Linked DNA regions of Stegostoma tigrinum. The main gene of each other region encodes a partner of the protein of the gene in region 2 in a complex. Links are inferred from orthologs where the notes say so. Each region holds a gene or a part of one and is shown on either strand. Other genes may lie near its edges.

The links.
Region 1: ercc2 (region 2) and ciao1 share a complex: the UniProt entries of both Homo sapiens proteins name them as parts of the MMXD complex. The link is inferred for Stegostoma tigrinum from reciprocal best matches to the Homo sapiens genes ERCC2 and CIAO1.
Region 3: the proteins of ercc2 (region 2) and mnat1 are in contact, whole or in part, in a crystal structure (PDB 6TUN), measured with the Homo sapiens proteins. The link is inferred for Stegostoma tigrinum from reciprocal best matches to the Homo sapiens genes ERCC2 and MNAT1. Residues at the interface, in NP_000391.1 of Homo sapiens: Lys274, Tyr285, Ala318, Val319, Pro320, Gly321, Ser322, Arg324, Thr325, Glu327, His328, Arg334, Arg335, Glu338, Gln363, Arg364, Val365, Cys366, Gln368, Lys370; in NP_002422.1 of Homo sapiens: Val68, Glu71, Val72, Arg75, Lys76, Leu79, Arg85, Glu86, Leu92, Tyr95, Asn96, Asp97, Leu99, Glu100, Glu103, Glu104, Phe107.
Region 4: ercc2 (region 2) and polr2j share a complex: the UniProt entries of both Homo sapiens proteins name them as parts of the TBP-based Pol II pre-initiation complex. The link is inferred for Stegostoma tigrinum from reciprocal best matches to the Homo sapiens genes ERCC2 and POLR2J.

What each region holds. Positions count from the first base shown.
Region 1 is NC_081393.1:10,328,666-10,335,527, reverse strand, and holds the start of ciao1 (probable cytosolic iron-sulfur protein assembly protein ciao1), read left to right. Parts: upstream 1-3,860; 5' UTR 3,861-3,914; coding exon 3,915-4,053; intron 4,054-4,151; coding exon 4,152-4,300; intron 4,301-5,733; coding exon 5,734-5,845; intron 5,846-6,862. Other genes in the region: tmem127 (transmembrane protein 127), read right to left, coding at 283-590, 2,010-2,174, 3,362-3,602. UniProt on the Homo sapiens protein: Key component of the cytosolic iron-sulfur protein assembly (CIA) complex, a multiprotein complex that mediates the incorporation of iron-sulfur cluster into extramitochondrial Fe/S proteins.
Region 2 is NC_081392.1:21,346,451-21,354,434, reverse strand, and holds the start of ercc2 (general transcription and DNA repair factor IIH helicase subunit XPD), read right to left. Parts: upstream 3,003-7,984; 5' UTR 2,915-3,002; coding exon 2,910-2,914; intron 1,569-2,909; exon of another isoform or gene 1,234-1,568; intron 1-1,233. UniProt on the Homo sapiens protein: ATP-dependent 5'-3' DNA helicase. Component of the general transcription and DNA repair factor IIH (TFIIH) core complex, not absolutely essential for minimal transcription in vitro.
Region 3 is NC_081363.1:30,268,857-30,275,890, reverse strand, and holds the start of mnat1 (CDK-activating kinase assembly factor MAT1), read left to right. Parts: upstream 1-4,027; 5' UTR 4,028-4,131; intron 4,132-7,034.
Region 4 is NC_081380.1:9,533,337-9,541,000, reverse strand, and holds the start of polr2j (DNA-directed RNA polymerase II subunit RPB11-a), read right to left. Parts: upstream 3,014-7,664; 5' UTR 2,996-3,013; coding exon 2,940-2,995; exon of another isoform or gene 2,887-2,939; coding exon of another isoform or gene 2,834-2,886; intron 1-2,833. UniProt on the Homo sapiens protein: Core component of RNA polymerase II (Pol II), a DNA-dependent RNA polymerase which synthesizes mRNA precursors and many functional non-coding RNAs using the four ribonucleoside triphosphates as substrates.

The DNA.
Region 1 (6,862 bases), on a different chromosome or scaffold from region 2:
TAGGGTCTTGTGACTCAGGGGTAGTATATCTACCTCTGAGCTAGAACACCCAGGTTCTTGTATCACCTATCCTAGACAAGCACCATAACATGTCTGAACAAGTTGATTCACTGAAAATATAACCAACATTTTTGTAGTTGAGATGATCAGAGGATTCGGCCTCTAAGCAGGAAGGATGAGGCGGCGTTGGAGTGAAGTGCTTGAGGTTGAGAATTCCACTGAACATGTCTGAACAGTCAAGTGAAGTGAGACTTGAGATGAGAAAATAACGTGCCCTGAGATTCAGGGTGTGTAGGCAGGTGGAGGCTGGAACTGGTTGACAATTTCATATTCCACTGGATACGGTTCGTTCTCTTCCATTTCTGATAGCAGTTCCAGTGCTTGTTCCTCTTCCTCAGTTGGGTAGTGTCGAAGGAGGTTAGCAGCCGTCGCCAAAATGGATGCTCCTCCAGCACCTGCCACTAAGTAAAAGCTAACTGCAAAGGTCACATAGACACGGGAACCATGATATTTTTTGTGTTGCTGCTGAAGTGCGAGGATTAATTCTGAGGCCCAGTAGCAGAATCCAATCACCGTGGCACACTGCAGAACTGCAAACAACAAACAAAGACAGTGAGTGGAGCAAGGATGGTGGGTGCCAGAACAAAATCTGAACAGAACTCATGGCTAATTCATCCTTATCCACCAGGCTTCAACACCATAAGGTTTGTTGCCAGGATTCCAAACAGAATTGGAAGGTTATGCAATGAGATGCTCCTCGAAGTACAGACAATTTAGTGAACCAATCAGCAGGAAACATGGGAAACAACTGGGGTCTAACTGGAAGCCTAGCAAACAAAGCCATCATTCTCACCGGGAAAAAGGAGGAAGGAAGACGCATGTGGGGTAGCATGAACTGGAGTAGGAAAGGGTAGTGATGTGTATCAACAGAGTTTGTACATGCAAAGAGAGTGCTCACAAGTGGTTGGAAGGGGACAAGAGATGGAGTAAGGACACTAGGGTAAGACTGCAATCTTGTCTCCGAGTGAACTGAGGTGTAAACAGGTAAACGTTCACAGCGAAGTGGGTACACGGAAATCATTTTCTCCTTTTTTCAACTTCATACCCACAAAGCGGGTTGCAACAGCACAAGCTTAAATGTAACCTGCTCCTGATGCCCACTTTTCTCCTAACTCCACTGAAGTCAGCTGGAAGCATGCAATACCAAGTCTGAGTATTTTGGTTGATATTTGTTTTAAATTCAACCAAGCCCAAGCTCAATCTCCACTCCCTATCCTGATTCTCACCCCAAAAGCTGAACATCTGATGTTTGACACATTTTTACAGCCATTTTAAGTTATTTATTTGCATTATTCTTTGTTCGCTTGGAGTTTTTCTCTGAAATTCATGTTTACTGCAGTGCCAAATCACCCCTTATGAAGAAAGGGAACAACCCTGCACCAAACAATGGCAGAACAATTATGATTAGTCAGTTCTGAATAATAAACACAGGCAAACAGCTCTTTCACATAATTCATGGGACATGGGCATTCTCTGCTTCAGCCTGCATTTATTGCCCATCCCTAATTACTTAGAGGACATTAAGAGCAATTCTTCAGAACGTTTGGATGAAGAGTCACGGGACTTGAAACAGGAACTCTACTTTCTCCCACAAGCGCTACTGGACGTGAATTTCACCAGCAATTTTCATTTTTGTTTCAGATCTACAGCATCAACAGTCATGTTTCATTTAGAAAGACGGAAAAAATATGTACTCAAAAGAAAAAAAACAATATGCTAATGAAGGGCCTCCTGCTCATGCACTTCAGCAGCAGAGCTGAAGGAGGAAGTCACCAAGTACTTATGCACTTCATATTAATGCCACAAATGCTGATTCACAAAGTAGAAACATCTTCCTTCTGAGGATGTAATCATTTCAAAAGCACCTTGCATAATGGTGGTTTAAGGGTTAAAAATAAAGCCAGATCAAGATATCACATTTACAAACATCTAGTTTCACTTGGACATACCTGTGAGAATATGAGCAAAGGCATATCTACGAGTAATCTTCAAAGCTGGATGTTTTGGTCCAAATACATCAAGGAGAAAAGCAGACAAACTGCAAATAATCCCCAGGAAACAGAAGGCACCAATGACCCGCAACAGGAGCACAGTCTGATGGTTCATACAGTAATCTGGAGACCAAAAGATTGAGTGTCAGGCCGTTTCACCAAATAATCAACAATCAAGCAAAATTCAAGATCATTGAAACTAAAATAAAACAGAAGGTTTTTTTAAAAACCATGACTGTAACTTTCCACTAACTTCAACTCATTGTTTAACATCAGAGGGAAGAAAATCTTCCTCCTTATGTCAAGATTCATGTTGCAAATGGATTTCTGTGGCAGCGTTCTGGAAAAGGGTCAATGGACCCCAAATGGTCACACTGATTTTGCTCCACAGATGTGGCCAGACCTGCTGGAATTTTCCAGCAATTTATTTCTTATCAGTTGGTACTTTGTTGGTCAGACTCTTGCCTCTGAGTCAGAGGTTATGGGCTCAAGTCCACTGTTGGACTCACAACAAAGATTCACATTTCACTGCTCAATTGAGGGAGTATTGTGTGGTTTGACATGCCCTCTAGACACAATGGAGCCTCTCTCAGGTGGACAACACATATTACAAAGCACCATTTCAAACGACAAGTAATAAATCGCTCGACTTCTGACCAGTATCTGGTATTAAAGTATCACGTAGTTCAATGGTTAACACTGCTGCCTCACAGCACCAGGAGCTCTGGTTCAATTCCACCCTCGGGTGAATCTGTATGGACTTTACATTCTAACCAGGTTTGCCTGGCTTTTTTCCAACTGCTCCAGTTTCCTTTCACAATCCAAAAGATATGCAAGTTATTTGGATCAGCCATGCTAAATTGCCCGTAGTGACCAAGGATGTGCAGGCTACACGGATTAGCCATGGGAAATACAGGCTTGCAGGGATAAAGTTGCGGGGTTTGGATGGGATGTTCTTCGGAGGAACTGTATTGACTCGAGGCACCAAATGGCCCCCTCCCCCACAGGGTTTCGGACGATCTGGTCACTGGGACCTTATTTGCTGCGCTGCCGGATTTGGGACACCTCGTCGTCGTGAAATGCGCGTTTTTCCCTCGGTATCGTGGACAAGTAACAAGTCCCAATTTATCCTTCGAGTGTGGTCAGGGAATCTGACACAGTTACAATCTTGAGAAACTAAAATGTCCAACATCGAGGCAGTGAAAGAGGAAATACGGAATGCATTCCGACGATACCGAGCCGAAGCGTCAGCACCGCCCTCTCCTCTCGGTCTCCACCTACGCTCACATATTACCTTCCCAGTTCATTACCTTCCAGCAGGGCCGAGTCCAGGCGTCCCAGGACATCCGCAACACCGAGCTCCTGCCGCGGGCACATACCCCCGTGCGCGCGCAGCCAGGCCGGTTCCGCCAGCGCCGTGCACAGCGCAGTCACCGAAAGCGCGCCCGGCACCGCCGACGCCAAACTCCGCTCCGTTTGCTTCGGTAGAGCACCCCCAGCTCCGGAACGCCGGCGTGATCCTGACAGACCGGCTCCCGCAGGTCCATACATTGTCCTTTCCGGCCTGGGCCGCCACAAGAGAACAACGAACCACCGAAACTCCGATATCAGTAACGGACGACGACGACGACGACAATAAACGATTCCAGCGCAGCCATCAGTTTCGCATCCGTTTTCGATCCGGATGTGACGTCTGAATTGTTGGGCCAGACTGCGCCTTGGTGATTGGTGATATCTGCGCTTGATGGACGGGGGTCTTAGCCAATAGAAACTGGATACGGGCAAGACCTCTAACCAATCCGGAGCAGGAGTGGGTGTGGCGACGGCGCTTCTGGTTCGGGGGAGGTCACACGCGCGCCTGGGATGAAGTGGCGGTTGACGCTCGAGTCCCGCTTCTTGGCGCATCCCGACTCCCGGGCCTGGTATGTGGCCTGGAGCCCGAGCGGTACGCTGCTGGCTTCGTGTGGAGGCGATCGGGCAGTGCGTATCTGGGCCAGAGAAGGTGCGGGCGGCTTCCCGATTGATCTGCCGGGGCGGGGGGTACGAGGCCTGGACAACCGCATTTCATTCTCCCGACTCTTGTTTTTCCACACCCCCCAGGGGCCTCCTGGCTGTGCAAGTGCCTCCTGGAAGATGGGCACCAGCGGACCGTGCGGAAGGTCTCTTGGTCGCCCTGCGGTACCTACCTGGCTTCGGTCAGCTTCGACGCCACCACCTGCATCTGGAGGAAGAAGGAGGCCGCATTTGAGGTAGTGCACTCTGAACTCCCGCGATGGCTTCATGGTTTTTGTTGCTGGACTCTTCATCCAGAGACCCAGATAATGTTCTGGGGAGAGATAGTGGGAACTGCCGATGCTGGAGAATCTGAGATAACGTGGTGTGAAGCTGAATGAACATAACAGGCCAAGTAGCATCAGAGAAGCAGGAAAGTTTGACATTTCAGGTCGAGACCCGACACGAAACGTCAAACTTTCTTGCTCCTCTGATAATGTTCTGGGGACCTGGGTTGGAATCCCACCATGGCGGATGGTCGAGTTTGAATTCAATGTCTGGAATCAAGAATCTAATGATCGTGAATCCATTGTCGATTGTCAGGAAAAACCCATCTGGTCCGCTAACGTCCTTGGGGGAAGGAAACTGCCATCCTTTCCTGGTCTGGCATACGTGTGACTCCAGACCCCAACAATGTGGTTGACTCTTAACTGCCCACTGGGCAATTAGGGATGGGCAATAAATGCAGTCAAGCTAGTGATGCCCTTACCCTGTTCATGAATTTAAAAAAATCACTTTATTGGGGAATAGGTGTTGAGGACAGAATCTTGTCATGAAGGATCATTCATTTAAGACAGAAACGGAGGAATTTCTTCTCCCCTGGGCTAGTGAATTTGTGAAATTCTTCACTGCAGACAACTGTCAAGATTGGGTTATTAAACGTATTTGAGAATGAGAGACAGATCTTTAGTCAGTAAGAGAAGGATGTTGCGAGTGTTGGAGTCTTTGAGCTATCAGGAGATGCTAAATAGGCCGGAGCTGTTTTCCCTGGAATGTCAGAGGTTGAGGGGTGACCTTATTTATAGAAGTTTGTAAAAGTATGGATAGGGTGAACAGCTAAGGTTTTTTTACCCAAGGTTGGTGAGTCCAAAACTAGGGGGCATACGTTAAACATCAGAGGGGAAAGATTTAAAAGACCTTGGGGCAACTTCTTCATGCACAGGGTGGTGCGTGTACAGATTGAACTGCCAAATGAACTGGTGGAAGCTGGGTCAGTCACAACATTTATAAGGTGCCTGGATGGGTATATGAATAGGAAGGGTTTTGAGGGATATGGGCCAAATGCTGGTAAATAGGATTAGATTAATTTGGACTATCTGGCTGAGTTGGACTGAATGGTCTGTTTCCATGCTGTACAGCTTTTATCAGTCTGCAAGACGCAGATGAGCAGAACACCCTGCCAAACCCACTGCTATCGTTGCGTTCTGAAACGGCTTTTGGAAATAATGTTTTCAAAATAATGCTGGCGACATTTCTGGCAGCAGTTTTATTTATAACTTGAGTCTTGTGTCAGCTTAAAACATGAGATAAAGTTGTTAGTTACATTGGGTCTTCTATGAACTGTTTGAATGGAATGGACTCGGTATAAGTTTGAGCGTTTGTTTCTCAGGCCTAGTGTTTGTTTTCATAGCTTTTGACAACACTGGAAGGACACGAGAATGAAGTGAAATCTGTCGCCTGGGCTCCATCTGGCAATCTCCTTGCAACTTGCAGCCGGGATAAAAGTGTATGGGTTTGGGAAGGTGAGAAGATATTTTGCATAGAATACCCTTTGAAAATGCCATTCTGTAAAAAGCACCCGAGACACCTGTCTTAAATGGTGGTAGAAGCAGAAACCGCTTAATATTTTAAACAGTTGGTGGAGATGCACTTGAAGTTCTGAATCTTAAAAGCAGACTCAGCTGGCACAAACATGCTGGGCTGGAAAGCCTCTTTTATACTTGAAATTTGCATAATTCAATGAGATATGTCTTGGCTGTTGAGCCTTAAAAGTCACCCACGATATTGATAATTTGTATAAAGGGTGTATTCTTTCATGGGCTGTCCCAACTTGTTAAGACTCAATGACTGTGATTGGTGAACTAGTAAGAATTGCAGGTTTCCATAGCCAAAAATCATCCATCAAATTAATACACACATTAATAGTATTATGGTCACTGTTGCTCAGATCTGTTTTCAGTTCCATATTTTGTTAACTGAATTTAAATTTGACTGGCTGTCCTGTTCTAAACCCACATTCTGCAGAACGTTGACCTTGGCCTGTCAATTCCGATTGTAATGATGTCAACCCTCTGCCATCAACTCCTTTAAAGATCATGTATTGTCTCAATGATAACGAAGCACAAGACATAAAAAAATGTAGATGGGAGAAAAACGTTACAAAGGCACAATAAACCTTGAGTGGATGCAAGAGTCAAATAGAATCAGATTTCACATAAAAACTGAAAAAGCTGCGGATGCTGTAAATCAGGAACAAAAACAGAAGATGCTGGAAAAGCTTAGCTGATCTGGCAGCGTCTGCGGGGAAAAAAAATTCAGAGTTAACATTTCAGGGCTAGTCACTGGCTAAACCAAGACATAACTTCCATCCAGAGCACTGTTTAAACATGTAACTTCCCTTTTGCCCCAAAAGGTGTGGCCATTGCAAAACTTGATTTATGATGAGATTGAGTCTGAGATACTGAAGAATAATGTTCCAACTGCATTAACAGTTTCAGAAACTAATCAGGTGATGCAATAGACTCCAGGACCAGTTCCTT
Region 2 (7,984 bases):
CCAACAAACCATTTGCCTTCCCTATAACCTACTAAATTGTAAATTAGTATTTTATGAATATGTACAAGGATATTCACGTGTTACAGCTTTCTGCTGTCCTTCTCCGTCTGAGTAACATTCAGCCTTTTTATTTTTCTTGCTAAAATGTATTCTCTTATGTTTTCCCATATTAAGCTACATCTTCCAAGTTTTACCCATATATTTAGCTTGTCCACATCCTTCTATAGCATCTAATCATCACTCACCCTTCCACCTAATTTGTGTCATCTCCAAGCTCAGCGACAGTACATACAGCATGGGGTTAGATAACAGAATAAATTTCTTCTGCTTAGTAAACACAAAGTAAAGCATCTTCTACACTGTCTTCATCAAACAGTCCCAAGGCAGGTACAACACAGAGTTAAATAAAGAGTAAAGCTGTCTCTACTCTTTTAAACTGAAAGTAAACCAAGTAAGGCTCCCCTGACACTTCCCCTATTAAAAAGCTCTTTTAACAGGTACATCATTGGGTTGATGCAGAGCCTTTTAAACGGAAATTGAGGCTCCCTTTACACTGTACATTCCAAGCACTCCAAGGACAGGGGCATCACAGGATTAGAAACAGAATAACGCTTCCTCTACTCCTTTAAACAGCTAGTAAAATGTCTCTCGAACTATCTCCATCAAACACTCCCAGGCACAGCATGGGGTTAAATTCTGAGTTAAAGTGCCTGCTATCTTCTCTTTTAAACTGAAAGGAAACTTTCCTCTACATTGTCTCCATCAAACACATGCAAGACTAGAGGGTTAGACACAAAACAATTCTCTATCTACTGTTTTAAACAGAAAGTAAATGTCCCTCAACAATGTCCCAGTCAAAAAACCTCAGGGCAGGGCTAGCACCCAGTTAGAGAGAGAATAAAGCTTGTTCTAAACTATCCCGATAAGTATTTCCAATTTGCATCCAAGTTGTATTTCAGTTAATGTCACATGAAACATCAACAGACAATAGACAATAGGTGCTGGAGTGGGCCATTCAGCCCTTCGGGCCAGCACCACCATTCATTATGATCATGGCTGATCATCCACAATCAGTATCCTGTTCCTGCCTTATCCCCATAACCCTTGATTCCACTACCTTTAAGAGATCTGTCTATCTCGTTCTTGAAAGCAACTTATCAAAAAACCTGTAACATTGAGAATTTGAGAACATTGTTGTATCAAGTGACTGAGAATAAAGGAATGGAACTCAACAACAATCTCCTTGCAGACAGGCCACACGTGGATGTGAAGGTTATATAACTGGCAAAGGGTTCAGTCAGCAGTGAAGGTACCACCTCAGCAATTATTCACTGGGGTCCAGGGCCCCAATTTATGCAGAACCGGCTCCCATTTCTCCCCATCCCCTGAAGCTCCACTTCTCTCTTGCTGTAACTCCTCTTGTTCCTTCAGTTCTCCCCTTCATCTCTCAATCCGTGTTCCTCCTCACTCCCTCATTTCTCAATCCGTGTTCCTCCTCACTCCCTCATCTCTCAATCCGTGTTCCTCCTCACTCCCTCATCTCTCAATCCGTGTTCCTCCTCACTCCCTCATCTCTCCCTCCCTCCCTGTTCCTCCTCATTCCCTCATCTCTCCCTCCCTCCCTGTTCCTCCTCATTCCCTCATCTCTCCGTCCCTCCCTCTCTGTTCCTCCTCACTCCCTCATCTGTCCGTCCCTCCCTCCCTGTTCCTCCTCACTCCCTCATCTCTCCCTCCCTCCCTGTTCCTCCTCACTCCCTCATCTCTCCCTCCCTCCCTGTTCCTCCTCACTCCCTCATCTCTCCCTCCCACCCTGTGCCTCCTCACTCCCTCATCTCTCCCTCCCTCCCTCCCTGTTCCTCCTCACTCCCTCATCTCTCCCTCCCTGTTCCTCCTCACTCCCTCATCTCTCCCTCCCTCCCTGTTCCTCCTCACTCCCTCATCTCTCCCTCCCTCCCTGTTCCTCCTCACTCCCTCATCTCTCCCTCCCTCCCTGTTCCTCCTCACTCCCTCCCTCCCTGTTCCTCCTCACTCCCTCCCTCCCTGTTCCTCCTCACTCCCTCCCTCCCTCCCTGTTCCTCCTCACTCCCTCCCTCCCTCCCTGTTCCTCCTCACTCCCTCATCTCTCCCTCCCTGTTCCTCCTCACTCCCTCATCTCTCCCTCCCTCCCTGTTCCTCCTCACTCCCTCATCTCTCCCTCCCTCCCTGTTCCTCCTCACTCCCTCATCTCTCCCTCCCTCCCTGTTCCTCCTCACTCCCTCATCTCTCCCTCCCTCCCTGTTCCTCCTCACTCCCTCATCTCTCCCTCCCTCCATCCCTGTTCCTCCTCATTCCCTCATCTCTCCCTCCCTCCATCCCTGTTCCTCCTCATTCCCTCCCTCCCTGTTCCTCCTCACTCCCTCATCTCTCCCTCCCTCCCTGTTCCTCCTCACTCCCTCATCTCTCCCTCCCTCCCTGTTCCTCCTCACTCCCTCCCTCCCTGTTCCTCCTCACTCCCTCCCTCCCTGTTCCTCCTCACTCCCTCCCTCCCTGTTCCTCCTCACTCCCTCCCTCCCTGTTCCTCCTCACTCCCTCATCTCTCCCTCCCTGTTCCTCCTCACTCCCTCCCTGTTCCTCATCTCTCCCTCCCTGTTCCTCCTCACTCCCTCATCTCTCCCTCCCTGTTCCTCATCACTCCCTCCCTCCCTGTTCCTCATCACTCCCTCCCTCCCTGTTCCTCATCACTCCCTCCCTCCCTGTTCCTCATCTCTCCCTCCCTGTTCCTCCTCACACTCTCCCTCCCTGTTCCTCCTCACTCCCTCATCTCTCCAGCCCTCACTCTCTGTTCCTCCTCACTCCCTCCCTGTTCCTCATCTCTCCCTCTCTGTTCCTCCTCACTCCCTCATCTCTCCTTCCCTCTCTCCCTCATTCACCTCATTTTCACCGCTTCAGTTCCACGTCCCGCCCTCTCCAGTCTCCACCAATCACAGATCCACTTTCCCAGTCTTTGCTCTCCACTGGTTGCATTGTCTGTCCATCTGTTCCCTTCCCACCTCCTGCAGCCTTTTGCAATCGAACACCGCTCCGACGGCCAGGTAGAGGAGTTGGGCGTCGATAGCTCTGAAGGATAGATGGAGTAGCTCCTCCTTCTTGCACTAAGAACACATTCACATTGACTGTAACTGCAGAGAGCTCTGACCCACATTATTCTCATCACACACAGGCCACTTTATTTCAGGAAATCATCCATCTTGTTCCCTCCAAACAAACAATCTCAGTGTCATTTAGCACAGAGGAGGTCTTTCGGCCCATCGAATCCCATTCCTTTGACATTTGAAGACCAAGAATCCACACAGCAGGACCTCTGCTCTTCCTGTCCAATTGTAATGAGGCTTATTCTTGTGCTCCAGAACCTGGACTTAACAATTTTCACACTTTGGCTAAATTAATCTGATACTATCCTGAATTTTGGTCAGCCACAGATGGGTCACTTTTCCTAGGGAATTCGTCTACCACTGAATAAAGTTTCATTATTAATTTTAAAGCATTTCTTTCAGTGGCTGTCACATCTTATCAAATTCCACAGCATTTATTCCACTTTCACAAACAATCTTCCTTGACTCCGTGGTTACCACTGCTAAAACACAGCACGAAGTACCTAGATTTAATCCCGGCCTCAGGTGACTGTCTGCGTGGAGTTTGCACATTCTCTCCTGACTGTGTGGGTTTCCTCCCACAGTCTAAGGACGTGCAGATTAGTTGGACTGGCCATGCTAAATTGCCCAGGTATCCTGAGAAGTGTAAGGTAGGTGGATTAGCCATGGTCAATAGAGGGAAAGGATTTGGATGGGGTGCTCTTCAGAGGATCAGTATGGACTTGATGGCCTGCTTCTGTGCTCAAGGGATCCATGATTTGTTCCTCACACATGACATACCGTAGTTGGTTTTATTTAACCTCAATATCCTTATCTTGAATTTAAGTATGCGTGTTTCAAACTGAATGTAAAAGAGCCCTATTTTGTTATTGTTCTGCCTCAATGGATCTTTGATATCATACACAATATTAAAGCTGAAGCATCAGTCGGCATTATTGAGCGGTTTCTGCTGCATCTGATCTGATGATATTACCTTGCACTAGGCCTCTAATATGATATTTTTGCTCAACTAAGGATACTCCACGCCATCATGTTTGACACGACCCTCAAACATTCAACCATGTCTGACCCACCTCTACCACGTCTGCCCTCACCTATTCCCCTCCCTTCCACAACAACAATTGGGTTCGTCTAAACCTCACTTTCCACCCCACCAGTCCCTAAATTCTAAGGATTATCCTCTGCCATTTCTGCAGCCATCAGCAGGATGCCACCATCAAATAAATCTTTCCTTAACCTCCCATGTCAGCATTCCACAGGAACTCCACTAGATACTGGCCCAATCCTAGATCACTCCTAACTCTTCCTCATTCTCCAATGGCACCTTCCCGTGCAGCCAGAGAAGGTGTATTTACCTTCCATTTACATTCCCCCTCACTGCTTAAGGCACCAAATACACAAACCAGGTGAAACAGCATTTTACTTGTACTTCTTTCAATCTAATCTACAGTATTTGCTGCTCATAATGCAGTCTCCTCTGCATTGCAGACTGGCTGACCACTTTGCAGAACACTTCTGCTCTGTCCATAAGAATGACTCCAACTTCAACCTTCCAGTCACATGCCATTTTAATAAACCATATGGTTCTCATATTAACATTTGCATTGGGACTGCTGTATTTCTCCAAAGATACACAATGTAAGTTCAACCAACAACAGCCAGGCTTCCACTTAGGCACTTTACAGCCAATAGGATTCAATGTTGAAATCCAAAAGACAAAACCATTACTGGATGTATTCCTGGCAGCTTTCATGAAGAGTCATCCAGACTTGAAACATTAGCTTGTTCTCTGTCTGTGGATGATGCCTGACCCATTGTGTTTTTCAGTGATTTTTTTGAGCTCAGTAGAGATCAGGAGGTTTTTGGGAATTATTTAGGAATTTATTTTGATGGTCTATTGAGGATATTATTGAGGAAGATTGGGGGATGATTTTAATGGTTTGTTTAGGGTGTTTATGAGGAGGGTTTTTGGGGATTATTTAATGAGTTATTTTAATGGTTTATTTAGGGTGGTATTGAGGATTTTGGGGATTATTTAGTAATTTATTTTAAAGAATTATTTAGGGTGTTATCGAGGAGGTTTTTTGGGGATTATTTAGTGATTTATTTTAATGTATTATTTAAGGGTGTCATTGAGGAGGTTTTGGGGATTTAGTGATATATTTTATGGATTATTTAGGGTGTTATTGAGTGGGTTATTGACTGGGTTTTTGAAGCTTATTAACATAAGAACTAGGAACAGGAGTAGGCCATTCGGCCCCTTGAGCCTGCCCCACCATTCAATAAGATCATGGCTGATCTTTTTGAGACTCAGCTCCACTTACCTGCCCACACACCGTAACCCTTAATTCTTTCACTGTTCAAAAATTTATCTAGCCTTGTCTTAAACACATTCCGTGAGGTAGCTTCAACCGCTTCACTGGGCATGGAATCCACAGATTCACAACCCTTTGGGTGAAGAAGTTCCTCCTGACCTCAGTCCTACATCTGCTTCCCTTTATTTTGAGGCGATGCCTTCTAGTCCTAGTTTCACCTGCTAGCGGAAACAACCTCCCTGCCTCCACCTTATCTATTCCCTTCATAATCTTATATGTTTCTATAAGATCTCCCCTCATTCTTCTGAATTCCAATGAGTATAACCCCAGCCCGCTCAGCCTCTCGTCATGACCCAACCCTCTCAACTCTGGAATCAACCGAGTGAATCTCCTCTACACTCCCTCCAGTGCTAGTATATCTCTTCTCAAGTAAGGAGACCAAAAACTGCACACTGTACTCCAGGTGTGGCCTCACCAGGACCCTATACAGCTGCAGCATAGCCTCCCTGTTTTTAAACTCCATCCCTCCAGCAATGGCAGACAAAATTCCATTTGCCTTTTTAATTACCTGCTGCACCTGCAATCCTACTTTTAGCGATTCATGCACAAGGACACCCAAGTCCCTCTACTGCAATGTTTTACCATTTAAAACATAGTCTATTTTGCTGTTATTCCTACCAAAATGGATGACCTCACACTTATCAACATTGTACTCAATCTGCCAGACCTTTGCCCACTCACTTAGGCTATCTATATCCCTCTGTAGACTTTCAGTCTTTTGCACACTTTGCTCTACTACTCATCTTACAGTCATCTGCAAATTTTGACACACCACACTTAGTTCCCAAATCTAAATCATCTATGTAAATTGTAAACAATTGTGGTCCCAACACTGATCCCTGAGGCACACCACTAGCCACTGACCGCCAACTAGAAAAACACGCCTTTACCCCTACTCTTTGCTTTCCACTAGTCAACCAATCCTCTATATGCCAATACATTACCTGTAATGCTGTGCAACATTATCTTATACAACAGCCTTTGGTGTGGCACCTTGTCAAATGCCTTCCGGAAATCCAGATACACCACACCCACAGGCTCCCCATTGTCCATATCCAAGTAATGTCCTCAAAGAATTTCACCAAATTAGTTAAACATGACCTACCCTTCATGAACCCATGCTGTGTGTTCCCAGTGGGAGAATTTATATGTACACAGATCCTTGAAAGTTGCCACCCAGGTTGACAGGGCTATTAAGAAGGCATACAGTGTTTTAGCTTTTATTAATAGAGGGATTGAGTTCCGGAACCAAGAAGTTATGCTGCAGCTGTACAAAACTCTGTTGCGGCCGCACTTGGAGTATTGTTTACAGTTCTGGTCACCGCATTATAAGAAGGATGTGGAAGCTTTGGAAAGGGTGCAGAGGAGATTTACTAGGATGTTGCCTGGTATGAAGGGAAGGTCTTATGAGGAAAGACTGAGAGACTTGAGGCTGTTTTCGTTAGAGAGAAGAAGGTTGAGGGTGACTTAATTGAAACATATAAAATAATCAGAGGGTTAGATAGGGTGGATAGGGAGAGCCTTTTTCCTAGGATGGTGACGGCGAGCATGAGGGGGCATAGCTTTAAATTGAGGTGTGAAAGATATAGGACAGATGTCAGAGGTAGTTTCTTTACTCAGAGAGTAGTAAGGGAATGGAACACTTTGCCCGCAACGGTAGTAGATTCGCCAACTTTAAGTACGTTTAAGTCATTATTGGACAAGCATATGGACGTACATGGAATAGTGTAGGTTAGATGGGCTTCAGATCGGTATGACAGGTCGGCACAACATCAAGGGCCGAAGGGCCTGTACTGTGCTATAATTTTCTATGTTCTATATCCAGATGTCTTGCTATTTCTTCTTTAATGATAGATTCAAGCATTTTCCCCACTGCTGAAGTTAAGCTAACCGGCCTATAGTTAAAGGTAACTATACTGTCTTTTTCTTCTTTTTGCAAACAGTGGCGTCACATTGGCTGTTTTCCAATCTGCGGGAACTGTCCCAAAGCCCAGTGAATTCTGGTAAATAATTACTAGTGCATTTGCTATTTCCCCCATCACCTCTTTTAGTACCCTGGGATGCATTTCATCAGGGCCAGGAGACTTGTCTACCTTTAGCCCCCATTAGCTTGCCCAGCATTGCCTCCTTAATGGTAATGATAGTTTCTAGCTCCTCACCTGCTATAACCTACTTGCCATTAGTTTTCGGCATGTTATTTGCGTCTTCCACTGTGAAGACCGACACAAAATGACTGTTTAATGTCTTGGCTATTTCCACATTCCCAGTTATTAAACTGGCCTTCTCATCCTCTGAAGGACCAATGTTTACCTTTGCCACACTTTTACGATTTACATATCTATAGAAACTTTTGCTGCCTGTTTTTATATTTTGAGCTAGCTTACTCTTACAATCTATTTTATTTTTCTTTATAATTGTTTTTGGCATTCTGTTGCCCTTTAAAGCTTTCCCAGTCTACTAGTTTCCCAATAAACTTTG
Region 3 (7,034 bases), on a different chromosome or scaffold from region 2:
TGCCTCAGGATAACCTGGGAAGTTGTACCCTACATTTCCTGGATGTTAGATGATCACCTGTGTCTGCAAGGACCAGGAGACAGTTACATTCCTAGGCCTTATAGCCTTTTGTGAACTCATCAGATAAAGTCAGTGTTCCTGGATACAATGGGTGGTGCTGGTGGCATCATGGTAATGTTCCTGAATTATTAATCCAGAAATCCAGGGAGCATGGTTTAAATCTCACAAAGGTATCTGATGAAATTTAAATTCAATTTATAAATTTGGAATTGAAAGCTTGTCTCAGTAATGGTGACCATGGGACTATAATCAATTATTGTAAAGATCCAGGGATAGTAGGAACTGCAGATGCTGGAGAATCTGAGATAACATGGTGTAGAGCTGGATGAACACAGCAGGCCAAGCAGCATCAGAGGAGCAGGAAAGCTGACATTTCAGGCCTAGACCCTTCTGAAGCAGGGTCTAGGCCCAAAACATCAACCTTCCTGCTCCTCTGATGCTGCTTGGCCTGCTGTGTTCATCCAGCTCTATACCTTGTTATTGTAAAGATCCAGCTGGTTCACTGATGTGCTTCGGGGAAGTTAGCTACAAGTGAGTCGAGACCTGCAGCAATATGGCTGACTGTTAATGGCCCTTTGAAATAGCCTAGCAAGCCACTCAGTTCAACAGCAGCTATGGATGAACAACAAATTCTTGTGCAAAATCCCATGAAAAGATGTTTTTAAAATCTCAGGAGCCTTAATGCAATCCCCAAAATGCTAACTCTATGGTTCACTCAGTTATAAGAACAACTTCAGGCTGATGATGTGAGATAACCAAAGAGAAGAACAGCATCTCCTTGTTGTAGAGAATACATTCTGCTGCTTTCACTTCAGACAGCCATGTCAGCACCTATTTGGGATATGAGACAAATGTTCAAGGAATGCATATTTACATTCGTGCAGTGTGTATACATCGCTTAAACACCATGCCACTAATGCGTCCTCAAAATGTATTTTTGTTCTGCTTCCCACTATGTCCAGGACCTGTCCTACATCTGCAGCTGGGGAAAAAGGGAGCTCGCTAACTGGTTATGCCCTTTTCACAATGAAGGGCTTGACAACATCCACTGGTAGCTCTAGGGGCCTGGTCTCCTGAAAGTCCTCATGCACAGATGCAGGCACATTATCTTCAGCCTGAGTTCTTGTAAATAGTGGAGTCCCTAGCAGAGGGGAGGTGAACCGACCACTTGTGGAGTGACCTGAGGCAAAGCTCTTTGTGTTCATGGCAGTCATTTTTCTTCCCTGTGGGTGTCTGCTGGCACCACACTGTCCCCTTGAGAAAACGGGACACCTGGAATGAGGCTGAGGTATCCCGTTCTCTCTCACTTTATCATACATGCTGTGTACCTTTGACTAGAGTGATGGAGTGTAGGCTCGAGAACAAACATGGCAGCCCCTGAGGATTTTGATGGGAGGATTTTGATGGACTTGACTCTCCAATACAGCCACCACACTTTCCACATAGGCAGCCAAATGATTGCACGCTGAAGCCATGACAGCAGTTGGATGGACTCAGCCATCTTCTGCACAAGACTAGTGAGGACCTTCACTATCATGAGCTGATGTTTCTCTACCTCTTTCTGCTGAGAAATGGCAGCGATCAGAGTCACATCTTTTGCATGTAGGCTCAACAGGTGCCTGGTCTCCTACAGTCCTTTGAGTAAAAGAAGCCTTGGGCATTTCTTCCTCCTGCAGCAGTCGACTCATGTCAATGATGTGCTCACCAGATTGTGTCTCTGCGTCATATTTAGCTATTGCACCCTTCACAATGTCACTGATTCAGCTGGACTCTGATTGTGGGATCTTCATCTTGGGACCACTGCTGGCTGCTCATACCTGTTGAAGAGTCAAGTAACAATTGGTTGCCTGATATGCACAATGCCTGATAAACATAAATGTGCGAGACTGACATGCATCTGAGAAGAGCAAACAGTAATGCTCCTTGCTAGCTTGTTTTTCCATTCTGATTTTATTGTCTTGATCAATGCATGACAGCCCATGGTTCTCATGCTAGCTCTCTGGCTTGTTGTTTAAAAGTCATGATGATTTGGATATTGGATACCTCTGCTGGTCTGAACCCAGTCCCTCCTGTTGTGCACGAGCTTGTCCTGCAATGAATGAAAGGGAGAGATTGAGTTTTATGACAATGGGTGTTCAAGTACTTTGTGAGCATGCATAACCCTGCATGATGGGCCTGCTGTTTAAATAAGCAGGAAACACAGGATGACTGTGAGTCCTTCAGTGCACATGATCCTGAGTCTTATAGATGTATGTGATGTGCCTGTCCAGTGACACAGTTAGACTGAGTGTTTCCCTAATTAATGTTAACCATAAATGAGAAGATGGTGACGTTCACCCTTTCCTGACCCTAGAAGGTCGTTCATTCTTTCCTTGCATTTCACTTCATAGAATCCCTACAGTTCAGAAGCAAGCTGTTTGGCTCACTAACCTTTTGGTAAGCATCCCCCAACCAGACTCACATCCCCTCTCCATAACCTTGCATTTCCCACAGCTAAGGGCCTGTTCTGTGCTGTATTGTTCTATTGTTCTATGTTCTAATCCACCTAACCTGCACATCTTTGGACTGTGGGAGGAAACCAGAGGAACTGGAGTAAATCCATGCAGACACAGGGAGAATGTGCAAACTCAACACCGACAGTTGCCTGAGGGTGGAATCAAGCATGGTCCCTGCCACTGTGAGGCAGCAGCGCTAACCACTGAGCCACTGAACCACTCCTCAATGATGGCCATATTCACTGACTTACACTGGGACCTTGGATATCACAGACCTTGTCTGATATGAGACCCTGGTGTCATGCCCCTTTTTGTGGATGGTCTGCAGTATAACTTCTAGCAAAGCATTGTTAAATCCTGAGCCCAAGCTGTGCCTGGTCTGTGACCTCTCCAGGGATATGGGGGTGACCAATCTAAACCCCTCTGGTATTCCTGATTTGAGGTGAAAGGCTGCCTTTGTGACCTTTAACTAAAGGGCAAGCACCTTTGACCAAGAAGGTCCTGGCAGGTGTGAGAACTTCTGCTCCACCCAGCCAATGTGATTCATCATTTAATCCATGCTCAAGACGCATACACCCAACTCACTCTGGGGTGTGGCACAAGAGACTAGCTCAACGACACCCAACACTTTTGTTACATCCAAAATAGAAAATCCTGTTCAATCTAATCCTGCAATTCTAGAACTTTTAACACATAGGCACTCAAATTTTGAGAACAGGATGTGACTCAGAATTCTAGCATTTCAACTGGCAGAATGGTCTTGGGTTAGTAAATGTATGTATGATTTCTGACCTCAATAAATATTGCACTTTTCCTGATCAAAATTAGCTTTTTGGAAACAAGAAACAAAGTGTCTGGTCATCTCTTAACTTAGATTCAGCAGTGTATCAAGGGACAATGTGAGTCTATAACGCTGACGGTGCCTTAGCAGATGGAGAAAGTACAAGTGTGAACCAAAATGCTCAAATGATACAGTTTGATTCCAGGCTTCTATAGACCAGGTTTAGCAATTTTCAGGAGAGAAATGGTATCTTGATGACACTTTTGTGTATTCAAGTCACAATTGCACAGATCTCACCAGGTGAAATGATATTTGCTGTCCTGCTGGCAAGTTGAAGAGAACATTTGGAGGGTCAAACGTATACGTCAGAATATCATCAAAGGAATAAATTGCATTGAAAGTCATTGATTTCATTGGGTTAGAGTTGTGATAAGGTAAATGAAAACACTTTCATAATCCCAATGCAGTAGACCTATAGCAAATATTGTATTCTTTCCTAAGAAATTATAACATTTAGAATGTTTAAAGTATTTAATCTTGCACTCTTGCATTTACTGTAAACACAAACAGAAAGCAACTGGATAGTTGAGTGTTGATGGAGTGGTTTGACCACATTTTTTAGCCAGTGTAGGCAAATATTTAAAGGAATGTGAAAATAGTAACTGCTGGTAGAGTGGAGATCAACACCTATAAGAGAAGAAATGGGTTAACAGCTGTGTTAACTTTCATTAAAATGCTTCAGAGATCGATTTCCGATACAGAGCTATACATTATATGTTAGTTACGTGTTAACTGGTGAGTAATTTTCAAAGGTTGATTGTCTTACTATTGTTGAAAATGCTCTCTTTTCAGGTTCTGTCTCTTTCAAATCTGCAGTCACCACACCTTTTCTCAAAGAAAGTATTCCTTGACCCCCCTGTCCATCTATAAGTTTCTTTACCACTCCAAAGTCCTTGAAAGTGCTGTCATCTCCCAAAATCTGTATACAACTTTTCTAGAACTTACAGTCTGAATTCCTTTGATAATAAGGTGTAGAGCTGGATGAACACAGCAGGCCCAGCAGCAACAGCCTGCTGAGTTCATCCAGCTCTACAACTTGTTATCTCAGATTCTCCAGCATCTGCAGTTCCTGCCATCTCTGAATTCCTTTGATCAGGTTTCCACCCCTGTCTCAGGACCAAAGTATCTCCAATGAAAATCACAAATGATATCCTAAGTGACAATGACAAAAGTAAAGTTACTGGCTGTTTTCAAGATTTTACTGCTTTCATTTCAAGCCTTTTAACATTCATTGTTATTGAAATAACTGCACAGAGGCTGGTATACCATCCCCAATTCGCTCATTTTTTACTGGTGCATAGTACCGTACTTGACACTGGCCCAGCTTTCGCAGAACCAGCTCTCAGAGTGAACAGAACCTCTGACACTCCAGTTTATATCAGCTAGGGCTCCCTGACTGGAACAGGTTAACAGTCCCAATCAGAGAATTATATTCAATGAGGTCCACCTGGCCAATATTGTTATAGTCACGACAGTTATTATATTTTATTTGAACAAAAATGAGGTTGTTTTAATTTTTTTAGTTTATTTAATATTTATTTCTTTAATATATTTAATTGTTGCCACCTCATTGTAAATATGATAAATTGCAAATTGCATAAAGCTATTAATAGTGGGAATAGTGGGAACCAATATCACAAGATAAGCTCTACCAATCAGGACAGAAGAGTCTAATTGTGGGAGGGGCTTGTGTGTGTGTGTGTGTGTGTGTGTGTGTGTGTGTGTGTGTGCGTGCGCGCGCGCACATTTCAGTTGTTGTTTAGTCTCATGACAAGTCCATGTGGCTGTTAATAACCTGTACTTACATTGAAGTTGAGCCTGATGTTTCATAAGAAACCATTGTGTATCTTAGATGTAATGTAACTAGTTATTAATCAATATGTAATAAACCTTAACTGTTATCGAAAGAAACTCAATCTTCTGCTGAAAATCTTCTATGGGCATCCTTCCCCACTCGGCATTAGTAGCATGACTAATACTAATTGTATTACCAAATATACCAAAAGCACTTTCCTCTCTGAAGTAGACCTTAATTTATGTATATTTTTAATATCACTTATTGTAAGGTTGGGGTTTTTTTTGAGTTGTAACATCAGCTGGGATCAGGACAATTAAGATGAATCTGTGTCTTTCTCATTAAAGTAATGTCTATGAAGTGGTCGTGGTAACTAAAGATGTTTGTTGTAGTGAGGTTTATTGCATGGAAATTGAAAATGGCTTTGAATGGTGCTAAGAGTTTTCTGGAAGTGGAAAATATCTCAGTGGTTTATTTAAAATCTTTGACTAAAACTACACTGGGAGGTATAGCAGGTAAATGGAAGGTAGAAGTAAAAGTAGAAGCTCATAAGGGTGGGAGAAAGGAAACCTGAAATTGAAATGTTGCAGCTATGGTAAGCGAAAATATCATTAGAAATATTTAATAAAAGGATTTGAACTAGAAAAACAGAAAAAAAACAAAAACAGAGAAAATGGAGATAAGATCATTTGGAATGGAAAGAGAACTGCATAGGCTGTGGAATTTGAAAAACTTGAACTCCAGAGAAATTAAACAACATGAGTTGACCACTAAATATCTTACAGAAAAGGGAAGTAGAATATTTGTGGGTGGAAGAGATACTAGTTTTATAGAGCAGACAGAAGGATGCCAAAGCAATAATGGGAAAAGACTGGAACCAAACATTCATGCAAGAAATTAACATGCTTTTATCGTATTAAGACTGGACATACTAAAACCATTGCTGGAAATTACATGCAAGACTGATCGCAGCAATAGGAAGATTTGAGATGTTTTCAGAAAAGGAGAATTAAGAAAGCAAATCAGTCCTAAAGTTTTAGCGTTATGGAAAGAAAACATGTTTCGTTGCGATATTCTAAGAAGGGAATGATGATTTAGGACAGTTGCAAAATCATTTTTAGAGACTGACAAAGAAAAAATTGCTCAAGGTTCTGATTATTTGATCTCAAAAAGAGAGAATTCACTTAATGTTTCAAATTAAGGATGTAAATCAATAAGGATATTGAGAGACACTGGAGCAAGTTGGTCATTAATGTTGGCTGATGATACCATTTTCCAGAGGGGTTGTTAAAGGAGAAAACATTAATTGGAGGTCTTCATAGAGTTTACAAACTAGGGTCATAATACAGCGTTGGATTAAAGAGTGACTTGTTAAGTGCAGAAGTAGTAGTTGGACTGGTGAAACAAATTGACTTGATCTTATTTTGTAAAATGGTCTGGCAGGTTCAAACATATTGGCTTCACCAAGTCTGGTAGAACAAGTAGTGGAGGTAAAAGAAACTGAATGTTACAATAAGGAATATTTCCTGACTGTGTTGTAACAAATGTCACAGACACTTGATCTTTGACACATAAATCAGAAAAGAAGAAAAGTCTATGGAGCAGGAAGTTGATTTGGAAATTCAGTTATTGGATACAGTTTTTAAAAATTTAACTGAAAAGGATAAAGGCAAAGAGAATAAGATTTCTTATTTAAAAGAAATTAACAGGTTTGCATTAGAGTTACACCAAACAGACTACTCAGAAATTTCCTCAGAAAACATTACCAAAGTGTTATTACTTGAAAAATAAAGTCTTAATAAGGAAATGGGGACCATCTCAAATACTGACCAATGAGGAATGG
Region 4 (7,664 bases), on a different chromosome or scaffold from region 2:
TTAGTTTCCTGGAGCACAACATTATCCACTTGGTAGACTTCTGGCACCTGACCAGTGTTTGTAGATGATACAAATATTTCTGCCCTAGCTCCCGACAATGTCAAGTCAGGTTCCACAGATTTATCTACTTTTATGCATTTTAAGACCTCCAATACTACGTCTTCTGTAATATGGACTGTTTTCACTATTTCCCCAAGTTCCCTAGCTCCCATGCCTTTCTCCACAGTAAAGATACAAAATATTCGACTGATAGCTTATCCATCTCCTGTGGTTCCACACATAGACAGCCTCATCGATCTTTAAGGAGCCCTATTCTCTCCCTGGACACTCTTTTACCCTTAGGTGAGCACAGATAATTTTGCATTACAAAGGAGAACGTCAGAGGGTACAGTGAATATATGGTGAAAAGTTGGATTAGTGGAAGGGATGGAGTGAAAGGGAAAGGGGGGGAAGAGAATTCAAAGGAGCATCAGTACTGAGATTTTTCGCGCTAGCATTACTCAACACGTGAAAGGAAGAGAAAGCCTTTCGTTTAAGTGTCAAATGAGATGAATAATTTGAAAGACCATCAGGACAGTCCAGCTGTAAGGAAATAATGAAGGAATAACAAAGTGTGGAGCTGGATGAACACAGCAGGCCAAACAGCATTTTAGGAGCATAAAAGCTGACATTTCAGGTTTAGACACTTCATCAGAAAAGGGGGATGGGGAGAGGATTCTGGAATAAATAGGGAGAGAGGGGGAGGCAGACTGAAGATGGATAGAGGAGAAGATAGGTGGGGAGGTAGGGAGGGGATAGGTCAGTCGGGGAGGGCGGACAGGTCAAGGGGGCGGGATGAGGTTAGTAGGTAGGAGATGGAGGTGAGGCTTGAGGTTGGAAGAGGGGATAGGTGAGAGGAAGAGCAGGGTAGGGAGGCGGGTTTTGGGATGCAGTGGGGGGCGGGGGCAGGGGAGATTTTGAAGCTTGTGAAATCCACATTGATACCATTGAGCTGTCGGGTTCCCAAGCGGAATATGAGTTGCTGTTCCTGCAACCTTCGGGTGGCATCGTTGTGGCACTGCAGGAGGCCCATGATGGACATGTTCTCTAAGGAATGGGAGGGGGAGTTAAAATGGTTCGCAACTGGAAGGTCCATTTGTTTAATGCGAACCGAGTGTAGGTGTTCTGCAAAGCGGTCCCCAAGCTTCCACTTAGTTTCCCCAATGTAGAGGTAGCCACAATGGGTACAGTGGATGCAGTATACCACGTTGGCAGATGTGCAGGTGAACATCTGCTTGATGTGGAAAGTCATCTTGGCCCCTGGGATGGGGGTGAGGGAGGTGGTGTGGGGACAAGTGTAGCACTTCCTGCGGTTGCAGGGGAAGGTGCCAAGTGGGGTGGGGTTGGAGGGGAGTGTGGAGCGGACAAGGGAGTCACGGAGACAGTGGTCTCTCCGGAAGGCAGACAAGGGTGGGGATGGAAAAATGTCTTTAGTGGTGGGGGCGGATTGTAGATGGTGGAAGCGTAGGAGGATAATGCGTTGTATCCGGAGGTTGGTTGGGTGGTATGTGAGGATGGAGGGGGATTCTGTTTTGGCGGTTATTGCGGGGGTGGGGTGTGAGGGATGTTTTGCGGGGAATGCAGGAGACGCAGTCAAGGGCGTTCTCGACCACCAGGGAGAAAGTTGCGGTCCTTGAAGAACGTGGACATCTGGGATGTGCGGGAGTGGAATGCCTCATCCTTGGAGCAGATGCGGCGGAGGCCAAGGAATTGGGAATAGGCGATGGAACCTTTGCAGGAAGGTGGTATATTCTAGGCAGCTGGGGAGTCGGTGGACTTGAAATGGACATCGGCTTCCAGGTTGTTGCCCAAGATAGAGACAGAGAGGTCCAGGAAGATGAGGGATGTGCTGGAGATGGCCCAGGTGAACTGAAGGTTGGGGTGGAAGGTGTTGGTGAAGTGGATGAACTGTTCGAGCTCCTCTTGGGAGTATGAGGCGGTGCCGAGACAGTCATCAATGTAACAGAGGAAGAGGTGGGGTTTGGGGCCTGTGTAGATGCGGAAGAGGGACTGTTCCATGTAATCTACAAAGAGGCAGGCACAGCTTGGGCCCATATGGGTACCCATGGCCACCAGATTTCAGCAGATGAAAGGTCCTACCGACTTGAAAACTGGCAGTGTTAATGGTTTCAGAGATAGTAGGCACTACAGATGCTGGAGAATCTGAGATAACAAGGTGTAGAGCTGGATGAACACAGCAGGTCAAGCAGCAGAGGAACAGAGAAGCTGCTCAGGTCAGTCAGCTGTTTCAGGCCGAGACCCTTCTTCAGAAATGGGGGAGAGGAAGAGGGATCTGAAATAAACAGGGAGAGGGGGGGGAGGCAGATAGAAGATGGAGAGACGAGAAGATAGATGGAGAGGAGACAGACAGGTCAAAGGGGCAGGGATGGCAGGTGGGTGTAAGTGGGTAGTTAGGGAGGGGATAGGTCAGTCCGTTAATGGTCTGGTAGATGAGGTGAGAAGCTCATCTCGGATAAAGCAGCAAAGTTTCAGTCAGGCTTAATCTAAAACTGTGGCCAAGGAAAGGGATGGAGTCAGTAACCACAGGCAGCGTTTGGATCGGGGGTGAAAATGGCTCCAAGTATTCCAAACACTTAATTGCAGGAAATTAGCAGCGATGTGTAATGGAATATCAATACCGGGGCGGCCTGATGGTGAGCGGCCGGTGGATGACGTGAAATTAGCGGGAGCTGACCCTGGGGTGAGACTGACGGACCGGACCCCCATCCTCATTCCCCCTTCACCACCCTCCCTCCATCCCTCCCCCCTTCACCACCCTCACTCACTCACTCACTTCTTCTCTCCCTCGAAAAGCAGAAAGCTCTCGAAAGCCGGCGGCGCGTTCATCCCGGAACAAACAAACAGACACCACGAGCAGCAAGAGTGATTATCACACTCACCGCAACTCCGGATATATCGCCTCCTCCCGGCCACTCCGAGAACAGCGCGCCCCCATCCTCCCCCCTACCCCGGACTCGCCGTGAACAGCGCACCCTCCCCCCCCGCCCCCCCGCAAAGTCCCCGGCACTTCCGAGAACAGCGCGCCCTCACGGACTCTCCGAGAACACCGTTCCCCCACCCCGGCCACTCCGAAAACAGCGGGACCTCCCGGCCACTCCGAGAACAGCGCACCCCCACCCCCGGACACTCCGAGAACAGCCGGACTCTCCGAAAACAGCGTGCCCTCCCGGCCCTCCGAGAACAGCGCACCCTCCTGGAACCTCCGAGAACAGCGCGCCCTCCTGGAACCTCCGAGAACAGCGCCCCCTCCTGGAACCTCCGAGAACAGCGCGCCCTCCTGGAACCTCCGAGAACAGCGCGCCCTCCTGGAACCTCTGAGAACAGCGCGCCCTCTTGGAACCTATGAGAACAGCGCGCCCAGCAACTTGCGGGGGAAGCCGGCAGCGTCCTAGTTAAATCTCTTCTGCATCCTCTCTAAAGCTTCCACATCCTTCCTACAGTGAGGCGCCCGGAACTGAACACAATATTCCAAGTATGGTCTAACCAGGGTTTTACAGACATGCAGCAATAACTTCGTAGCCCTTAAACTGAATTCCCCTGCAAATGAAAGCCAACAGACCATGCGTCTTCTTAACAACCCTATCAACTTGGGTAGCAACTTTTAGGTATCTATGGACATGGACCCCAAGATCCCTCATGTGCCTACAGACTCCTCTTTACCCACAGCGCATGTTACTCCTTCAAACAATTCCAATAAATTGGTTAAGTATGGTTCCTCTTTGACTAAACTATGTTGACTCTTTCCAATTTTTTTCTATTCATTTGGTGGGATGTGGGCGTCGCTGGCAGACCAGCATTTCTTGCCCATCCCCGGTTGCCCTTGAGAAGGTGGTGGTGAGCTGTCTTCTTGAACCGCAGCAGTCCTCTTGCTCTGGGTTGACCAACAATGCTATTAGGGAGGGAATTCCAGGATTTTGACCCAGCGACAGTGAAGGAATGTTGATATATTTCCAAGTCAGAATGGTGAGTGACTTGGAAGGGAACCTGGAGGAGGTGGTGTTCCCATATATCTGATCTTCTAGATGGAAGTGGTCGTGGGTTTGGAAGGTGCTAAGGATCTTTGGTGAATTTCTGCAGTGTACCTTGTAGATGGTACACACTGTTGCTACTGAGCGTCTGGTGGTGGAGGGAGTAGATGTTTGGGGATGTAGTGCTAATCAAGCGGTCCTGGATGGTGTCAAACTTCTTGAGTGTTGTTGGGGTTCTAATCATCCAGGCAAGTGGGGAGTATTCCATCACACTCCTGGCTCGTGCCTTGTAGATGGTGGACAGGCTTTGAGGAGTCAGGAGGTGAGTTACCCACCGCAGTATTTCCAGCTTCTGGCCTGCTCTTGTAACCACTCTGTTAATGTGGTGGGTCCAGGTGAGTTTCTGGTCAATGGTAACCCCCAGGATGCTGATAGTGGGGGATTCAGTGACACCATTGAATGTCAAGGGACGGTGGTTAGATTGTCTCTTACTGGTGATGGTCATAGCCTGGCATTTGTGTGGTGCAAATGTCACTTGCCACTTGTCAGCCCAAGCCTGGAAATTGTCCTGATCTTGTTGCATGTGAACATGGACTGCTTCAGTATCTGAGGAGTCATGAATGGTGCTGAACATTGTGCAATCATCGGCGAACATCCCCACTTCTGACCTTCTGATGGAGGGAAGGTCATTGACGAAGCAGCTGAAGGTGCTTGGGCCGAGGTCACTACACTGAGGAACTCCTGCAGAGATCTCCTGGAGTTGGTTTTTCTAGGTGTCCAATGCTAACGTTCTTAATGAGGATCTGCACTACCGGTCAAAACCAAATCATAAAGAAAACAATTCAATCAACAAAGTACTTTATTGTTTTAAACAGGTTATAAAAGAGAAATTTACATGCATCTAGAACAATATCTTACATTTAATAGAAATAAGTGTACAGAGACTCATACATATCAATGACATTGTCATCGATCAATGCTGTGGAATGATTGATATGGCATTCGATCCAAAGCACCATTCATGAGGGAGTTTAATTCTCAAATCCTAAAGCTGTTCAGACCAAGGTGGATGAGCACTTCCTCAGCATCTGCCATGTAGGAGAGCCATGGTATATATAAAGTTCCCATTTAGTGCATGCAGCTATGTCTCTAGACTGGACAATAAGCTTATTGTATATTAAAAGCTGTACATTACAGACCCTTAGCAACTGGTATCCACCTTTTGCAATGTCCATATTCTTAAAATGATAGCTCTGCAATTTTATAGGGCAAAAGGGAATTCTTTACCCACCACCTATAGGGGCAGGGAAACTGTTCTATCTCTGGCGTAAAATGGCCTCAGCATTCTATCCCAGAGAGAGTGCTGTTCATCCCAAAGTGAATACAGCTGGGAGTGCCTAGCTGGCGAAGGAGGGAAATGGTGACATCCCTCCCAGACAGACCAATGGCCTGACAGCAGACACCAAAAAAGCCCACAAGGTCTCATGGCAGCTTCATGCGCAATACTTGTGGCAGAAATTGCTTTTCAACGTTTGACCTTACACAGCCTTCAAGAGAGGTGATTCACCATATGGAGACCCCCTTCCCAGCCCTCCTGTGTGCTGCAGAGCCATCATCTTGAGTTAAGTCAAAGTACAGCAACGTGTGCAGGGGCTGGCTACAAGGATCTCCATCCCACAACCATCTTTCACAAAACCTGCTGTTAAAAATCCTCATGGACTGCCCTCCTAAGAACACAGGCAGAACAGGAACAATCTGTCAGGGGAATGCAGTGAACTCAACTCAGCGCAGATTCTGAAAAACAGCAGCTTTGAGTGTCACATTTTAAGGTGTGGAAGAACCTAGCAGATTGAAGATTGTCAGTACTTTGTAATTTGTTTGCGAGTACCATGTACATCTTTCATATTACAAGTCACCTGGATCGCTCACGAAGAACTCACTGTTTGCACATGTCCATTTTTTGAGGGTGTTCATTCACACAAATTTCATGCCAATTCCACAAAACAAATGCTGAGTTTTGGTGTCACTGGCACATTCAGTAATTTCCAATAATAATGTCCCAGTCTGCTGTTACCAATAGCTGTGCATTTATCTACTGCGGAACAGTCATTGTAACATCAACTGCAGAGACATTTACTGCTGTTCCTAGTAGAATGTAATCAAACAGTTGGACAGCCAAAGGGGACAGGAACAATTCCAAAGGGCATGGTAGCGCAATATAACGGTCGACCGTGACATCAGTATTTGGGCTTGATCAGGTCACAATAACAGATTTGGGGCCCTGATGAACATCATTTGGTGATCTATTACCTAAAATTGAAGCTTTAAACACAAGTATGAAGATGTAAAACACAGGTACGATGCCTCTAATGTGTATATGGCAGGGTGTGGTTATTGATTGCAGGGAACACCACATGGCACTATAAAGAATAGTGAAATATTCTGTCAGATGTTGTACAGAAGAGTAAGAGATGCTAAAGTGATAAACAAGGGAGCAATCAGGATTAACAGCTCCTCAAACATCAGGGTATTGTAGGGATGCCACTCTTTACGGCAGTTAAAAAAATATGATAATGTATTTTGTGTATGAATACAAAATGGAATGTGTAACTTTGTGACAGGATAACTTATTTAGGGTAACATATTAATAGTAAGTGCTATGTACAAAATAATGTAGCTATGAGAATACTACACATGATGGAACATTGTGTTTGATTGCCCTCATTACATCATAATGTTTATCTTGATGGGAGGTGAGAGCCAAAGTACAGGACCATAAAGCAAAAATATTTTCTAATCAACCTGCCCAGAAGTGACATTACACACCTCAGCATCAGGTGCGACTTGAAATGTAGGCCTCCTGTCTCAGAGTCAAGGAAAGTACCACTGCACCCCAGAGGACTGCAGGTTATGTGCAGGATTGAAGAGAGTGCTGAATACTGTAAGCTGGATCCAGTAGAGTATTATACACATGTTACATGGACTATAAGTAACTAATGTGATTGATGCTCCAAAGGCATGACCACCACCCTCCATCCCAAACACAGCCTCCAATGCTTTAACGGGAATTAACTCCTTCTGCAGGTGCATCACTCTGTCTCCAAGCACAATTCCCAGAGGCAAGTGACCCTCTTGTCCCCAGGAGGGGGCAGCAGATTCCAAGAATGACGGGGTCCTGGTGACCAGGGCTTCTGAGTGGAGGGGTGTCTAGAAGAGGAGCTCCATTTGTCTGTCCTTCATTTTCTTGTGTTACTGAGAGCTTTTTAACATGAAAATAAAGAATCCCAGATCTGAGGGTCAACCCAGGCAGGTCCAATCATACCCTGCTTGTTGACACTCTGCACCAGGATGTTTGTTTGATGTTACAGTCTGGTTGCTGTCCCTGAATACAACAGGGACACAGCATCCTACAGTTTCAGGCTAGAGGAGCTGGTCTCTCTGTAGACTACAGCAAGACTGGCTGATGCCCATGATTCACATCTGTCAGCATGTTACAGGACACAAATACATTTACAAACCGTTCAAAAGATTAATTACAGGAAATATACATTTACAACTTTGTTTATTTTGTCATGGACTATATCTTGCATAATTCAAAACAAACAGGAATCTCTGGGCCAAAGGAGGATGCAAAAA